Linked DNA regions of Rattus norvegicus. The protein of the gene in region 2 interacts with the protein of the main gene of each other region in a pairwise test. Links are inferred from orthologs where the notes say so. Each region holds a gene or a part of one and is shown on either strand. Other genes may lie near its edges.

What was found.
Region 1: the proteins of Fchsd2 (region 2) and Abcf3 interact in binary tests that used the Homo sapiens proteins (3 or more experiments, as listed by UniProt). The two-hybrid records come from large-scale screens. The link is inferred for Rattus norvegicus from reciprocal best matches to the Homo sapiens genes FCHSD2 and ABCF3.

What each region holds. Positions count from the first base shown.
Region 1 is NC_086029.1:93,853,867-93,857,779, forward strand, and holds the start of Abcf3 (ATP-binding cassette sub-family F member 3), read right to left. Parts: upstream 2,730-3,913; 5' UTR 2,643-2,729; coding exon 2,570-2,642; intron 2,347-2,569; coding exon 2,199-2,346; intron 2,078-2,198; coding exon 1,998-2,077; intron 1,567-1,997; coding exon 1,520-1,566; intron 1,308-1,519; coding exon 1,210-1,307; intron 1,108-1,209; coding exon 985-1,107; intron 854-984; coding exon 587-853; intron 27-586; coding exon of another isoform or gene 2-26; coding exon 1-1.
Region 2 is NC_086019.1:165,087,052-165,090,864, reverse strand, and holds part of Fchsd2 (F-BAR and double SH3 domains protein 2), read right to left. Parts: intron 3,596-3,813; coding exon 3,466-3,595; intron 3,376-3,465; coding exon 3,293-3,375; intron 1-3,292. UniProt on the Homo sapiens protein: Adapter protein that plays a role in endocytosis via clathrin-coated pits. Contributes to the internalization of cell surface receptors, such as integrin ITGB1 and transferrin receptor.

The DNA.
Region 1 (3,913 bases), on a different chromosome or scaffold from region 2:
CCTGGGAAGGAAAAAGACCCAACCAGCTCGTGAACGTAGTGTAAGCAGGTGTCCTGCATTCCCTAGGTTGGAGATCAGGGACAGTTAGGGTTTTATAGTTCTGTAGGTCAAATTCCAAGTTCTGCTGCTCACTAGGGAGGTCATGTGAATTATGGAGACACTATCTAAGGGACAGAGTCTTAGTCAGGGTTTCTATCGTTGTGATGAGAGACACATGACAAAAAGCAATGTCGGGAGGAAAGGGTTCATCCCAGCTTGTAACTTCAGGCCACACTCCATCACTGAGGAAAGTCAGGGCAGGAGTTGAAACGGAGCCACAGAGGAACGCCGCTTACTGCTTGCTCAGCCTGCTTTCTTATTGAACCCGGGACCAGGAGCCTGATGTCACTGTGTCTACAGTGAGCTGGGTCCTCCCACATCAATCACCAATTAAGAAAATGCAACACAGGCCTGCCCCTGGGCCGGTCTATGAAGGCATCGTCTCAATTAAAGTGCCTCTTCCCAAATAACTCTCACTTGTGTCGAGTTAACACAAACCAAGCAGGACAGGAGTTACTACTTGTACCCTCTAGGCTTAAGCCTTCACCTGCCAGCAGCAATCTTGAGGCTGAGTCCCCGTTCCTGCCGTAGCAGGTCCTCTCGTATGGTGTCACTTTCCAGCACACTCTGCAGGGCAGGGGTGTCATCTCCAGCAACTTCCTGCTCTACATGCAGTAGGGAAATATGGGCTGGCACACGCAAGCTCCGGGTGGCCAGCATCTTTAGCAATGTCGTCTTCCCCAGACCATTGCGTCCCACTAGCCCGTAGCGTCGGCCCCATGCCAAGTTCACGTCTGCTCCGGCCAGCAGGACCCTGAGGGGTGGTTGAGAAGAGATGAACGATAGTCCAGGAACAGAAGCAAAGGAACTTTAACACTGTTTTAGTCTCACTGCTCCCAGGTTCTACTTTAGTTAGAAAGATCCTGTCACCAGCCATTCCCTCACCTGTCACCAAAAGAGACATCGAAGTTCTCAATTCGCACATCATAGGACTTGTTCTTGCCAGATGATTCCAACCGACTCTCTTTTCGGCTGCCTGCCTGGCTAGCTGATGCCTCCTCCAAGACTCTTTAAAAAGAGAAATGGACGGTTTGAAGGGCTTCTGGAAGTCCTTCAATACCAGAACCTGTCCTGCTTCCTTCCTGCTTAGACCCCTTCTTCCAAACTCACAGGGGGCTGCTGGTCTTCAGCGTTTCCTTCTCTGAACGCTTCTCCTGCTTTGCCTTCAGTCGAGCTTCGGCCTTCTCTAGTTTCTTTGCATTTACTGTCTGAGTGAGTTCCAAACACAGCCAGTTTATACTAGGGTACGGGTTCAGAAAGGAACTCCCGAAATCACATCAAACGAACACTAAAACTTACCCATGATGATACACAAGAAAACATGCAGGCAAAGACACACCAGAAATCTCAATAAACCCACTATTCAGTAGATGGTGAACTCTCACACCCAGCACAGCCCCTTCCCACTTCTCCTCCTCACCGAGGACTGTTCCCTCTTTAGCAGTCCTGGAAGCTTGGTGTCACAGTCTGTAAGTGATAAGAAAAGCAGTCACCTTCTCCGTGAGAGAAGGGGATGAAGACTTTGAGAGACTAACAAGAACCAGGAACAGTGTTAAAGATAATATTATAACACTGGACTAGACGGTTATCTGCCTTGAAGTAAATAAAGGACAAGAGGACCTCACATTTAAGCAGAGGCTGATATACCTTTAAGACCATGCTGTTGGTTAAGGCACAACACTGGCAAAACCAAGTCTGTTAGCTTCAAGGCCTCTATGCCTCCTATTACCAACAACAGCTTGGAGAGCCCTCCAACCCCTATTCTCTACAAGCTTTTATGTTCACAAGAATACCACTAGCTCCTACAAGCCTTGAAGAGATGGAGGGACCTGCGCTGCGACGAGGTGGCTGGGGTTGGAAGGCAGAAAGCAGCTAGTTCAATCTCCCCTCACTCTCACCATAGTTTTCCATTATCTTCGACAACTGGATGGGGGCGTCCAGTAGCACCTGGTTGTTTCCCTGGTTCTGCGGTTCAGCCCTACGGGGGTGGAGAAAACGGAGTCAGTTGGGAGAAAAGATTTACAACCTTCAGACCTTCCCCCTTGTTTGTACTCCATTCTCCTCCCTTTGCCCATCAACTCCATTCCCTTGGCACCTACAGGCGTAGAGTGTTGTACATGCGCTGACAGACTGCCCTAATGCCCGCGTCATCCTTGCTGTCCCCCGACACTTCTTGCAAGAGTTCTCCGACAGCTTCCACCAGGTCATCCACAGACTCGAAATCCGCGCTGCCACTGTGCAAAACACCTGGGCCGGGTACCGCAGAGTAAGACAGACACCGGGTAGGACGGATATAGGAGCAATTTCAGTGTCTGTACAGCTCACTCGGGGCTCCAAACCCCACTGGCCCTCAAGATAAGAGGTCACGCAGAGGAGAGCCCAGATAGCGGTCTGCTGTACTGTCTGCCCTCAGTCTTCCCCCATGACCTCCACTTTGACCTCCCCAGGCAGTTAATTCAGTTTCGCTCACCAGTCACGTAGTCGAAGACCTGCCCGTCAATTTCTGGGAACTCGCTCCGCAGGATATCGGCGCAAGTCGCCATGTTCACTCGGGATCCAGCCTGCGCAGTCGTGGTGAGACGTAGGCCTAGGACCGCCTCCTTGCCCTTCCTCCCTACCCCGAAATCGCACCCTTCGTCCCAAGGAGCATGCGCACGGATGACGTAAGAAAGCAGAGGCTGCGTGAGCCCAGAGGCGGGCCTAGAGGAACGGGACGCAAGCGCCGCGGAGTCCAGCAGGCGTGGCAGGCTCTACGCCTGCGCAGTTCCAGTTTTGCGTATACGTTAACCACCTGTAAGGGTTTTCGCTGTCTGCAAAGTGTAGGTTGTATCGAGGGGCGTGGTAGAGTCACCCAAGGTTTATCATAGCGGGGAGCATAGGAGGTGCTGCAAGGGGAGTCCCGCCTAGACTCAGGGTATCGTGGGAGAGAGCTGCTTTGCAGCTTGGAGACTTTCCCCGCAGGCGCGTGCCGCTGCTCGCCCACCAAGTCCTTTAGTCCTCGGCATTTTGCTGACTCACGCCAGCTCTCGAAACTCAGTCCGCAGTCTATCGGTTTTATTTAGTCCTGCTAGTTGAATCAGCTTGGTGAGGACCAACCTTCCCCTTGCCCCTTTGCCCTGTCCTCAGTTCCTTCACACTTCATAGGTGTTCAACCAGGTTACTGAGAATGATGCCGTTTCGTTCTACCACCACCACAAGGCACAACCTCACCCACCTCCAGAAAACCTGAACAAGAAAGCCTTTATAAATTCTTGTTCATCCTGGGCCTACAGACAGAGCACATTTTCTTACACCCTGGATCTCAGTGTCTGTAAAAAACAGCCCCCCCACCCCCCAAGATTGTCAAACCTTGTTCCAATGCGTTCAAATTACACCCCTATATACAATTTTTGAGACAATCGCCCTAGATAGCCCAAGCTAACCAAGAACTACTGAACCTCCTGCCTGCCGCCCAAGTGCAGGAGTTAAAGGCATTTGACTACACTGTACTGCCCATTCATCTGGCTTAAGTATTGTTGCAACGGGGATGCTGCCAGTCTTGGTGTTTGAAGTTAAAAAGCTATCAGCATGGGGTTGGGGATTTAGCTCAGTGGTAGAGCGCTTCCAAGCGCAAGGCCCTGGGTTCGGTCCCCAGCTCCGGAAAAAAAAGAACCAAAAAAAAAAAAAAAAAAAAAAAAAAAAGCAACCAGCATGCTTGAGGTTATAGCTTGGTTGGTAGAATGCTCTTATCCTGAGGCTTTGTGTTTGATCCCCAGGACCTCATAAAACAGGGCGCGGTGGCATGCTAGTAACCCCAACATTCAGGAGGCAGTGA
Region 2 (3,813 bases):
AAGCAATCTACAGATTCCCATAAAATGCAATTCCCACAAAAATTCCAACGTAATTCTTTACAGACCTTAAGGGAGCAATTCTCAACTTCATATGGAAAAACAACAACAACAACAACAAAAACAACAACAACAACAACAACAACAACACCCCACCCAGGATAGTTAAAACAATCCTGAGAAAGAAAAGAACTTCTGGCAGTATTACCATCCCTGACATCAAGCTATACTACAGAGCAATAGTGATAAAAATTACATGGTATTAGTATAAGAGCAGGCAGGTTGATGAATGGAATCCAGTCAGAGACCCTGAAACAAATCCACACACCTATGGACACTTGACTTTTGAACAAAGGCAAAACCTTAGATGGAAAAGAGAAAGCATCTTCCACAAATGGTGCTGATCTAACTGGATGTCTCCATGTAGAAGAATGAACATAGATCCATATTTATACCATGGAGAAAACAAGTCCAAGTGGATCGAAGACCTAAACATAAACTCTAGCAGAAAAGAAAGTGGGGAATAGCCTTGAACACATTGGTACAGGAGACAACTTCCTGAACAGAACATCAATGGCTTAGGCTCTAACATTAGCAATTGATAAAAGGGACCTCATGAAACCGAAAAACTTTTGTAAGGCAAGGGCATTGTCAGTAAGACAAAATGGCAACCTACAGATTAGGGAAAGATCTTCACCAACCCTATACCCAACAGAGGGCTAATATCCAAAATATATAAAGAACTCCAGAAATTAGACAACAAACCAAACAACCCAATTATAAAGTGGGGTACAGAGCTAAACAGAGAATTCTCAATAGGGAAATCTCATATGGCAGAGAAACACTTAAATGTTCAGCATCCTTAGTCATCAGGGAAATGCAAATCAAAACGACTATGAGATTGATTCCATCTTGCACCTATTAGAAAGGCTAGGATCAAAAACTCAAGTGACAGCACATGTTGTCAAAGATGTGGAGCAAGGGGAGCACTCCTCTATTGCTGGTGGGAGTACAAACTTGTATGACCACCCTGGAAATCAAACTGGTGGTTTCTCAGAAAACTGGAAATAGTTCTACCTCAAGACCCAGCTATACCACTCCTAAGCATATACCCAAAAGATGCCCCACTACACCACAGGGACATTTGTTCACCTATGTTCATAGCAGCTTTATTCGTAATAGTCAGAAACTGGAAACAGCCTAGATGTCCCTCAACTGAAGAATGGATACAGGAACTGTGGTATATCTACATAACAGGTTACTCAGCTATTAAAAACAAAGACATCATGAATTTTACAGGCAAATGGATGGAACCTGAGAATATCATCCTGAGTGAGGTAACCCAGAGCCAGAAAGACATGCGTGGTATGTTCTCAGTTATCAGTGGACATTAGCCATGAAATGCAGGATAACCATGCTACAATCCACAGACCCAAAGAAACTGAGTAGTAAGGAGGTCCCAAGGGAAGATGCATGAATCTTACTCAAAAGGGGAAACTAAATAGTCATCAGAGGTGGATGGGAAGAGGGAATGGGTAGAAGAGGAGGGGAACAGATATGGTGATCAGGTACGGGAAGAGAAGGAGGTGGGAGATGGCTGGATTGAGAATGGAAATAGCTGAGGTTATCTCTGGTGACTCTCTGGAAGCCTGGGACAGGAGAGGATACAGGGAGTCTATGGGGCTGACTCTAGCTCAGATCCTATTAGTGGGAGATACTGAGACTGAAGTGGGTACCTCCTGTACTCAGGCAAGTCTTTCAGAGGAGGAAAGAGGACATCAACCTACCCACAAAACCTTCAACTCAAAATCCGTCTTGCTTACAAGATGTGCAGAGATAAAGATGGAGCAGAGACTGAGGGAACAGCCAGCCAATGACTGTCCCAACTTGAGACCCACACAATGAGAGAGCTAACCCGATACTGTTATTAATACGCTGCTATGCTTGCAAACAGGAACTTAGCTTAGGTATATGCTTAACTGTTGGAGAGGCTTGATCCAACATCAGATAGAGGCAGATGAGGAGATCCATAACCAAACATCAGGTGGAGCTTGGGAGTTTTGTGGAAGAGTGGGAGATACAAGTGAGCCAGAGGGGGTCAAGGGCACCACAAGAAGACCTTCAGAGTCAACTAACCTGGGACCATGGGGGCTCAGAGTCTGGGAAACCAACCAAGGAGCATGCAGGAGCTGGACCTAGAGCCCCTACACATTCATAGCAAATGTGCAGCTTGGTTTGAATGTGGGTCCCCTAAGAAGTGGCAGTCTTGGTCTCTGTTCCCTGCCATTGGATCCCCTTCTGATTACCTGGATTGCCTAGTTGGGCCTCAGTAGGAGAGGACATGTCTAGTTCTGCTGGGACCAGATGTCCTAGGGTGAGGCAGTACCCAAGGGAGGGGTTTTTCCCTTCTTGGGGCAATGGGAAAGAGACTTGTAAAGGTGGGACTAGGAAGAGAGGAAGGAGTGGGGGCTGTGACTGGGATGTGAACTGAGTTTAAAAAATGATTTTACTTTATGTGTACGTTTGTCTGTATGCAACCATATGTAATGTGCATCCCTGGCTCCCGAGAAGGGCAGACGAGAGCCTTCCGGACTTCCTGGAATTGGAGTTGCAGACAGTTGTGAGCCACACTGTATGCTGGTGCTGGAAACCAAACTCAGACCCTCTACAATAGCAGCAAGTGCTCTTAACTGCTAAGCCATCTCTCCAACACCTATGATGATGATGATGATGACGATGACGATGACCACGGCGGTGGCAGGGTCTGGCCTAGGATTTGCTATATAGCCTAGAACTCAGAGATTCACCTGCCTTTGCCTCCTGAATGCTGAGATTAAAGGTATACACCACCATATCAGCTCATTTTATAGCCTTTGTTTTCTTTCTTGTTTTCTTTCATTCTTTCTTTCCTTTAAAAAATTTATGTATATACATGCCGAATGCTGCCCCCTTCTCCTGGTAACTTGCCACAGGGTTCCTCCACCATCTTCCTCATCTCTGAGAGGGTGCCTCTCCCATACACCCTTACCTTGGTGTATCAAGTCTCTGTAGGATTAGGCATATCTTGAGGCAAGAAAAGGCAGCCCTCTACTGCATATGTACTGGGAAGCCATGGCTCAACCATTAAAGGCTGGACTCACAACCAAAAATATAGCTTTTCTTTCTTACAGTTCTTTATACTTCCCCAAAGCACTGCATGGCAGATCAATAGCAAAATGGACCATGTGGGCAAAATAAATCATTTTCAGTTTGGAAGAACTATGTAATCCATAACCCTTCAAGGTGGGAGACTTACAGGCCGCAGCTTGCCATACGAGGTGTCAGGAGTCTGTCTTGAGGCCTGTGAGAATCCTGGTGACTCAGCATGAAGGCAGTTTTCTGAGGGAGAGAATCCAAGAGGTTATGATGGGATAGTAAAGATGCCAGTGTAGAAGTAAGTGGTGAGGGGCAGCTGCCCAGAACTCTTACCATTGGCTGAAGGAGACCGGGGGAAGAACTGGGAGCTCCTCTTATCTGGACTGGGGTAAGGGCTGCTGGGAGGCTGGTCATACAGAGGCAGTGGAGGCAGGGATGTGTGAGGCTTGGGGGATGGAGAGACCTGCAGCAAAGGAGGCAGAGTTACTAGGTGGCCTCCTCAAGAGGAGAGCTTGGCTACTTTGCTGCCCAGCATGCCTTCCTTTTCTTTGGCACTTACTTATAACTAACTGTTGAGGGCCGTCAGCCTCACAAAAGCTTCAATTTTGTGTTGTACTACATTATTCTACTGACTGTATCTTAGACCATTTCCAAGTCAACCCTTCTCTGGGGTTCTCTATT